3 linked regions of the Saccharomyces cerevisiae S288C genome follow. The gene in region 3 interacts genetically with the main gene of each other region. Each region holds a gene or a part of one and is shown on either strand. Other genes may lie near its edges.

The links.
Region 1: mutations in YLL053C (region 3) and YML020W together harm fitness more than expected from each alone (negative genetic interaction), as found in Saccharomyces cerevisiae (one large-scale study listed by BioGRID).
Region 2: mutations in YLL053C (region 3) and CIS1 together harm fitness more than expected from each alone (negative genetic interaction), as found in Saccharomyces cerevisiae (one large-scale study listed by BioGRID).

The regions. Positions count from the first base shown.
Region 1 is NC_001145.3:229,324-233,086, reverse strand, and holds the start of YML020W (uncharacterized protein), read right to left. Parts: upstream 1,939-3,763; coding exon 1-1,938. Other genes in the region: UNG1 (uracil-DNA glycosylase), read left to right, coding at 2,274-3,353; adenine phosphoribosyltransferase APT1, read right to left, coding at 3,587-3,763.
Region 2 is NC_001144.5:821,624-824,592, forward strand, and holds CIS1 (Cis1p), read right to left. Parts: upstream 970-2,969; coding exon 664-969; downstream 1-663. Other genes in the region: YLR345W (bifunctional fructose-2,6-bisphosphate 2-phosphatase/6-phosphofructo-2-kinase), read left to right, coding at 1-417; KAP95 (karyopherin beta), read right to left, coding at 2,205-2,969. UniProt on the Saccharomyces cerevisiae protein: Mitochondrial protein that is involved in citrinin resistance.
Region 3 is NC_001144.5:34,934-38,055, forward strand, and holds YLL053C (uncharacterized protein), read right to left. Parts: upstream 1,029-3,122; coding exon 570-1,028; downstream 1-569. Other genes in the region: YLL054C (uncharacterized protein), read right to left, coding at 1-271; AQY2 (Aqy2p), read right to left, coding at 979-1,428; FRE6 (putative ferric-chelate reductase), read right to left, coding at 2,400-3,122.

The sequences.
Region 1 (3,763 bases), on a different chromosome or scaffold from region 3:
CTCAGGCTCCCATTCCTCAAATTCCTTAAACAACATCTTGATTTCTTCATTACTGAAATGCTTGTTGGACTCGTACATCAATCCCCTCATACACCATGGCAGACGATAGGGGTTGGCTCCTAACTCAGACAATTTATATGGTGAGTACTCAATTGGATACATTTCGGACAAATCGGTTGTTTCTAATGCAAATTTGATGCCCAGATGGTAGACCTGTTTCTCATTATAAATGGTAGAGTGACCACCTCCTGTCAGGGTGCCCGCCAGAGATCCGCTTATTTCCTTTATGATTCCGTGATCGTTATAACCCAGGTTTAAGAGTGAACCAGCAATTTTAACTATGCGAGTGATAAATGCTGGAGTTTGTGATCCTCTATCAATAAAAATGGCCCGAAATATATTGGGATGGTTGGCAAAAAGACATGTGGATGAATACAGAGGGACCAGTTGATCATTGATGGATCCCACAAATGTAATCTTAACGTTATTTGATATGATTGTTCTTAGGCCTTCTATGAAGCTTTGCGATTGTTTGGAATCAAACTTTTGAAACTCGAATAACTCCCTCAATGAGTCTTTTTCAATCGTCTGGTAAGCACGAACAAACAAAGTTTGATCTGCACCGTAGAATGGACCATTATTGATACCTGCCATGGCCAAGACCGAGATAATTTTTTTGGACGAACAAAACTGAATTTCATCGTTGAAAAATTGAGAATTATCAAGGTTTATTATGCCGTTTTTGATCAGCTTCGCTAAAAGCATAATGGTTACCGGACACCCCTGCGAATGGCTAACAAAATAAATAAAATCAGAATTGTTTATTTCTTTGCTCCAATGCTTCATAACTTCGTAGAAGAAATCTACTCTATCAAATATCTCTCCTTCTCTTTCAAGAGCGATCTTGCTTATTTCAATGGGTACTTTATGTTGATCAAAATATTCCTTCACTATTTCCTCAGCTTCTGTGACAAACTTGGTAGATGTACCCGTTGGCTCACCAATAAACGGTCTAATAATTTTTGTTGGAAAGAACCCATGAACGCCGACAATGAGAACTCTGATGGGCCTAGATTGGTAATCTGATAGAAGGTTTATTTTTTTCCATGGATCAACCCTAAATAGAGATCCTCTGTTGTGTTCCAACCGCTCCTCATCTTTTGCCTCGTTTGCAACTGTGTTTGTTTCCTCTTTTAACTGATTTTGTGAGTGCTGCACCTGTTCTTCCCCCTCTCGTACCCTTGATGAAGGTCTTCTATCCCAGTATTCAGTCTTCCACTTCCAAATTGTGGATGTGACTGTATTCCATATGGTTTGTTTCGGTAAAATATCGAAACTTGGTACAACAATGTTAGGAAACTGATTGCCTATGTCATCTGTTAATTTCTTAGCAGTTTTGACACCTTTATCTCTGATCAATATAGCATCAGGTTTATAAGGTATGTAAGTGTTGGTTAGAGGAGCCGGATTTAGACTATTTGCTAAACGTGATAAAGTGTTATTATCCGCATCAGTGGGAATGTTATGCGTCGGCTCCGGATCTTTTTTGTTACGGCCCCAAAAGAATGGCCATGCTCGTGGTCTTGTGTTTTTTTCTACTATAGCTGCATTTCTGTCTTTTTTGTCCTTCTCACCCTTCTCGATCCTGGTGGTTTCCTTTAAAATCGTTGTTTGTTGATTATCGTGCAAGCGTGTTCCCTCATTTGAAACATTGTCATTTTCTTGACTGTTGTCTTGGGCGGTTTCCTTTCCTTTATTTTTATTAGATAACTCCGGTTCTTCCTCGTCATTACCTCCCCATATAGACCAGGATTTGGTTGTTCTGTGCTTAGGCTCACTAGGCCCCATACGACCAGACTGAGTATGTACTGAGCGCAGTGAGGTCGTTGAAGATTTCAGACTGCTTTTCGGCGAGGAATGCAATGGAGTCGTGACCATTCTACCTACTGGTACTCTGTATATAAGTCTCTTCCAATTCTTCGTAATGGTGTCTATTTGTAGTGCAAAAGTGCTATCCAAGAGCAGTGATAAGCCCACTATATGTATAAAGCCGAATCTAGTGACTGGTGGGAATAAAAAAGATAGTTTTCGAACTATTCTTATATGAACTTTCCATGGAATTACCTCACGTTGTTCACATTAGTGACTTGTAAAAAGCTTTACATATAAACTCAATATTTTCCCTATTGTCAAAACCTGGAATGTGTCCGCAACGCGTAATTCATCCATAATGATATATATTATCAGAAGCTGTACACAAGCCGTTCACATACATGTGGTGCATGAGAAGATTGCCAACAAATTCAGTTATGACGGTGGCTCGAAAGAGAAAGCAAACTACGATCGAAGACTTCTTTGGTACAAAGAAAAGCACTAATGAGGCGCCCAATAAGAAAGGTAAATCGGGCGCTACTTTCATGACCATAACAAATGGCGCAGCTATCAAGACAGAGACAAAGGCGGTCGCAAAGGAGGCAAACACGGACAAATATCCTGCTAATTCAAATGCAAAAGATGTATATTCGAAGAACTTGAGCAGCAATTTACGTACACTACTGTCGCTGGAGCTAGAAACGATTGATGATTCGTGGTTTCCACATTTAATGGATGAATTTAAAAAGCCATATTTTGTAAAGTTGAAACAGTTTGTCACTAAAGAGCAAGCTGATCATACAGTATTTCCGCCTGCAAAGGATATTTACTCATGGACCAGGCTAACGCCTTTTAATAAAGTTAAAGTCGTGATTATCGGTCAAGATCCCTACCACAACTTTAATCAGGCGCATGGCTTGGCTTTTAGCGTCAAACCCCCTACACCAGCACCACCGTCATTAAAGAACATATATAAGGAACTGAAGCAAGAGTATCCTGATTTTGTTGAAGATAATAAAGTGGGAGATTTAACTCACTGGGCTTCACAAGGGGTTTTATTGCTTAATACCTCGTTAACTGTAAGAGCACATAATGCAAACTCGCATTCTAAGCATGGTTGGGAAACTTTTACAAAAAGGGTAGTTCAGTTGTTGATCCAGGACAGAGAGGCCGACGGTAAGAGTTTAGTATTCCTCTTATGGGGGAACAATGCTATCAAATTAGTAGAGTCTCTGTTGGGATCTACTTCCGTTGGAAGCGGTAGTAAGTACCCTAATATCATGGTGATGAAGTCAGTGCATCCGTCTCCATTAAGTGCAAGTAGAGGATTTTTTGGTACCAACCATTTCAAAATGATAAACGATTGGCTATACAATACCCGCGGAGAGAAAATGATAGACTGGAGTGTTGTTCCTGGAACGTCATTAAGAGAAGTTCAGGAGGCAAATGCTCGCTTAGAGTCAGAATCAAAGGACCCTTGAATATTACTATTGCATATGCAGGTCTCGATTTCCAAACTCTTTAAAAGCATATAATAGATAAAAAACTAAATAGACTACTTTGTGGCACAAAGCAGAAAAGTGGATTGAATATTTTTCAATCTAAAAAGTAAATATTATACAACCAAATTGAGAGAGTAAGGAGAAGTAAGAAAAATAAATTGCTTGAAACCGGCAGAAAGGAAGCTTGAATATGGGTCAGGACGTGAAACATATCATTTTTTCAACGCTTCCTTTTGAGCGTTCAGTAAAGTGAACACTGGAGCATTCAACTTACTCCTGCCTTTCAAGAAATCCAACTCCATAACAAAGTTATATTCCAAAAGGTTGGCTTCGAGTTGTTCAACTAATTCGCCGGCTGCAGCAGCAGAACCACCAGTGGCAATAATGTC
Region 2 (2,969 bases), 790 kb from region 3:
CACGATACTGCACTCTTTTTTTCAAAAGAAGGTATTAAAGTTCAGCAACGGTCAGAGTTGAGACAGTTGAACCCAGGAAGTATTGCTGATCTTACTGATCAACAGATAATGGACAAATTTCCATCAGAATATAAAGAATCATTAAAAGACCCATATCATTTTCGATTCCCTAGGGCGGAATCTTACCATGACTTAGCCGTTCGTATGGAACCTTTACTATTAGAAATGGAGCATACGAGCAAGGACATTCTCATCATTGCACATGAGTCAACATTAAGAGTATTATATGGCTATTTAATGGCTTGCACCTGCGTAGAGTTACCAAATCTAAATTTCACAAGAGACAAATTAGTTGAAATTTCATTCAGCCCTTTCTGTAATACTGTAGAGTTACTGAACATTCCTTTAACTAGCTAATATACTGGAGTTGCATCGTTGATGTGTATTATCTATATTCAAAATAGTTATTTTTATGTTTAAGAAAGGATTAAGAACAATTGAAAAAAAATTACCATTAGCAACGAATATTAAATTGTAAATTATTTAGAGATATTTTTCTATAATATGCTCGCCTACCATTCTCTTTTATACAATATTTAGGTTTTACCTGGAGGCTAAAATGATATGAGGGGACGATAGCTTAACATGATTGTGACACAAACTTTAAAAAAGGCTTTCAGTTGAAGAGTTTTCTTCCGCTATAGTCTCCAATGCTATCTTACTTTTCTTATTACGTTTATGTCTACCTTTCATATCATTTCTTGTAAGCAACTCCTGCATTTCCGCTTCCTGGGCAGCCTTGAGTAAATCATATCTGGTAATTTTATCAGGTTTATTGCTCACATATCTGCCTGAACCAACAACGTTGATATATTTCCATGGACATGCTACCCACTCTGCAATAGTGGAAGCTGAATTGATTGTGTTTTTTGAAACTAACCCGATGGGACAATTACTGATCGATTGCATTATTAAAGGTGATAAATAATCCTTTGTTATTTGTGCCCCTTAAAATTCATATACACTTTATGTTTAATTCGACAGGTATAACAGAAAGAAACAAGGAAAACAATGCAATTAATCATTAACTGCACCAACTTTTATATGAATATATTGTGCTACATGTCTTAATTAGTCCTCTGTGAATGAGCATCACAAAGAATCACGAGGAAAAGATTGATTACTTAATATTGATAGGAATCAGCCGCGGAAATGGAAATCTTGGTAATATAATTTTAATGCGGCACGCTGAAAATTGATGGCGGCCTGCTAGGAGCCCTATTGATTCCGCGGAAATAGGCGGATTATTACAAACGTTGAGCATTCAGCAGGTGCGGCTGTGCCTTTTCACTTTCAGCTAAGATGTTTGCAAGCAAGAATTAACAGATAAGCCGCTTCGCTAGTAACGCAACTCATTGTGTTTTTAATGGAAGCTAAGGATGGTTGAAATTATGGGTACCCTGAGATAAGATTATTAACTATGATGTAAGTATTAATCATTATAATAAGGGGTACCTGCTCATTCGCATTACCATACATTGACTATTAACGAGCAGAAAGTTTTTGGAAGTTTTGCAGATGAAGTGCATGTTTGATAATTTGAATATGCGGATTTCCTTATTCAAAACTTTCTTTATGCATAGAGCTAATTAGGTTTGAGTTAAGGAAAAAAATCTATCATAAGTGTCTTGAGGTATTTACTATAATGTATACGGGAAATATTAGGTGTGATAGGCTCTAGGAACGAATATTAATATTGGGGGGGGGAAACTGGAATGAAATTAAACAAAAGCAAAAAAATCTAAAAGAAGAAAAAAAGGAGAGAGAGAGAGAGAGAGAGAGAGAGAGAGAGAGAGAGAGAGAGAGAGAGAGAGAGAGAGAGATGAGGGTTATTGATAATATAATATAATAATAAAAGAGAAGATAGTAGAAAAGGAAGAAAGAAAAAAAAAAATTAAGATGTACTTTAATAAAAAGAGGGAAATTCTAAAAAGTGCGACTGGAATTAGAAGAATGCAGGTATTTTGTTTTCTCTCCTATGACGGAGAAGGTAACAAAATCATAAAGGTAAAATAACAAATTAATTATGATCAAAGAGAAATGCCCTTTGTAAACCGTGGTTTGTAAATGCGTTGGTAACTGCAGCAGATGTTAAGAAACAAAGATGGAAAAGAACCAAAATCAGCTTGTAAGTTCTATCGTAATTATAAGGATAATTGACGCTTCTGTTGCTCTCTAGCCCATCTTGCTGTATCTTTTGTGGCTTGACTGAACAATTGGCCACTCCTAGTTCTTTTAATGTAATCAATAACCCAGTCTTGTCCATAAAATTGTTTGATTGAGCCGTCTGGAAACATCGCTGCTATATCACCAATCAATCCGACTGCTGCTCTTGAGGTAGCATCCTCACTGTACAGCTGAGGATCTTCTGCAACTTGTGCAATGAACTGGAATATAGTACCAACATAAGGGAACAGAGCTTCAGGTTTATCATGAAGACCCGCTACTATACCCACATAAGCATCTAGTACTGCTTCTAGTACTTTTATTTGATAATCAAGGGCTTCTAATGTGCCGTTTTCCGGCTTCGTGTTTTGGGCAGCAACACACAACGCCATGATGTCATTCAAGTAGGGAATAAAATCAGCACCTATATTGGAAGCAATATCACCGAACACGCTCAAGACGGCTGGTTTCAACTCTCTCCTTGCATTTGGATTAGAGATCATTTGAGCCAAGACATTCATCATAGCATCGGAATATCTTCTGAAATCTTCTTCTAACGAATTTGAAATATCAGCGATGAAGCCCACTGCGGTGATTGAAACTGGCGAATCTACTTGATTTAAAGCCTTTAATAAATAGGGAGAAAATGTTTCCAGGTATTTCTCAAATCCTTTACCCAAAGAAGCAGCTAGAGCTGAAATAGCATAAAACACATCGTCTTCAATAAACGCAGAGTCCTTTTT
Region 3 (3,122 bases):
CCCAGTCTTTAGTACTTGGATTAAGTATGGAAGTAAAGGAACCACTTGCGGACATCGATGCAGGAGTAATGTTTCTAATGTCTCTATGTGGGGCATTTTCGATAGTGGGAGATTTGTTAATCCGTCCTGGTTCCACTTCGTAGCTACAAATCGAGGATGAGGCCTTGCATTTGGAGCAAGTAGGCCAAAGTTTATCACATTTGATTTTCCTTTGCTTACACCGCAAGCAAACAAACGATGGCTTAACCTTTTTCTGAGATGCAATGCTCATATCCAGTGCAGTACACTTATCTTGTCATAGATTTCTGATGGGTAAATAATTACTTCACATCATCTTTGTTTCCAAAGTTTGGCCTCAATGTTGCCTTTAGGAGGAAAAAATGTGAAGAATGCATACTTCTGCCGCTTACGTAAAAACAGAACTCTGACCAGAAGAGATAAAAACAAAAAAAAAATAAAGGACAGTAAATATGAAAAATAAGATATTATTATATTAAATTAAATTAAATTAAATTAAACTACGATGGGAGCGTTATGCCAAAAAAGATAAAATTCTGAGCAGACTACTCTCAGTCTTCCTTCTTTTGACCTGCCGCCTTTTCGGCATTAACGTATGTAGTGTAATCAAGGATTTGTAATAATTGCCACACTGACCAGGCTAAGAAGGCACCCAAAAGTGGGCTAATCCAGTAGATCCAGTGGTAATGAGGGAAATATCTGGCAGCAACGGCGGCACCCAGAGATCTTGCAGGGTTGACACCGGTACCAGTGTAACCGGTCAAAGCCATGTGAGCCATGAATAAAGAAATACCAATTGGAAGCGCAGCCATAAAGTTAGTTTCACGTTTTTCAACAGCAGTCATCAAAACTGTTAAACACAACACAGCAGTACCAAACATTTCCAAAAACAACCCCCTAGATCTGGAACAGCCTAAACCCAAAGCATTAGTAAAGAGAACCTTGCCTGGAGTCATAGCACTAGCGGCACCACCAGCAGCCATCCCAGCAATGATCTGAGGAAACCACATCACTACACATCTGGCTGGTGAGATGGCTCTGGCCAAACACAAAGAGAGAGAAACGGCTGGGTTCAAAGCCCCACCAGAAACACCAGATAGAAAACATCACAGAGAAACCGAAACCAAGGGCAATCATGATCAATTGACCTGGATGAGAGCCCTCAGGCTCGGTTGTCAAAGCCACATCATGGTTAGCGACATTACAAATGACGTAAGCACACCATAAAAACATGAAGGTACCGCAAAACTCACCCACAGCAGCGATAAAGTGGTTTCTTAAGGTATCTCTGTCAATATTAAAACGCGAATGCTTCGTTTCCGGCTGTTCAGGTGGAATATAAGCATTGTCAACACCGGTCGGGTCCAAGTGCGAAATGTTTTTTTCAAGGTCGTTAGATTCGTTAGACATAGTATAACTAAGGTAGGCTAGTGTCGCTTTTGAATATTTTCAGGAATTGTAATAGCCAGGAACAAGAAAAAAGACATGCGCACACTAATAAGCTACTAAAACCAACATATTTATACTATCAACCGAGAGAGGGGCAGATATGATTCACGATAAAAAGTTAATAAAAGGATAACAGCGGCGCTCTAATTCGTTAATGAAAGCCATAGTCCGGTATGGACAAAAACTATTTCCTTCTTTTTTTTTTTTAGGTTTTTTTTTAATTTGCACTTGCAATAATCTAATTCACTGTAGGAGTTTAAAGAAAAACATCTAGAAGGATTGGAGGAGGTAAGTCATTATTATGGCGGTGCTCTTTTAGCGGGAAAAAAAAAAATACACCTACGACGTTAAAACAGATCGTGCTGTCGTCTCAGCGGCAGTAAAAGTACTGTAGTAGTTACGGTGCACGCAGATGCAATGCTAATTAAATAATCATGCTCCCATTTTTAAGAAGCAGAAAAAGGCCGCAGTAATTTGAGCCGTGAAAAGATTTCGGAGGGTTGATTCTTAACATTTTCCAAAAAAATGTCCTTTGGTCTGTTTGCTTGGGTCTGAAAAGAAGGACTGCAGCGCCACCTCCACTGGTTAAGGACAAAATCCATACTTATTCCATCTTTCTCGGGACATATTTTCCTGAGACAAAAGACCGTAGAACTTCAAAGACTCGTTCCCAGAAAGGGATTTAGAGTTAATTTTTGCTCGGCATCAAGCCGGAAAAATTCAGGCGCCGCTTAGTAATTAATTGCAAGTAAAGAAGTACCGGATTTATTAGACATCGTCTTAGCAAGCAAATTCCTGAAAGCTAAAACGCAAATAATTAACTAAAAATAGTTGCTAAAGAGCACCTTTTATGCGGTACATAAAAGTTTTTAGTGCCGTAGATATATGTAGATATAGGTGGGCGTAGGATCAGAAGGAGCCGGAGAGAAGATTTACCAACACTGATATTCCTCGAAATACTCTATAATTCTCTCTGGGTAACCGAGGAGTTTTTGAGAAACGGTGTTTCTAACATCGTCCACCAGAACAGGAGGGCCGCAGCACACGACCGCTAATGAATCTCCAGGCGGCGTACTTTTTATTGCGTTTTCAATTACATTGCTAAAATTAGGTCTTGCATTGCCGATGTGGGCGAAGCTTGTCAGTTCGGTCATTATATCATCAAAATGTATTAATTGGTCTCGTGCGTTTGCTGCCTTTGTAACAGCTGTTTTCTGTGTAAGGTAAACCTGCACGTTGACGTGGGATCGGCTATTTTTTAGCTCTAGTATCTCGGATTTATAGCCGTTAAGAAAAGAAGGATTTTTGATCGCCATGATCAAATCTATACTCTTGGGTTTATCAGGGTTTCGTGACAGCTTAATGGCATGATCTAATGGACCAGGCAAGCCTGTTCCTCCACTTAGTAACAGCAAATGGTCGAATTTATCGAGGTGAAGATTACTGGGCCCATAAGGTCCCTCAATGGCCACTCGGAGTTGTAATTTACCATTTAAAGATTGCAAAATATGGTTATAAATGAATCTAGTGAGACCACTTTTAGGTTTGATCACTAAAACACACTTCTCACCTTCGTCGATAATGGTAAATGGATGGCATTGCCAAAATACCAATGGATGTAAAAAATAAATGAAACAATATTGACCCGGTTTCGA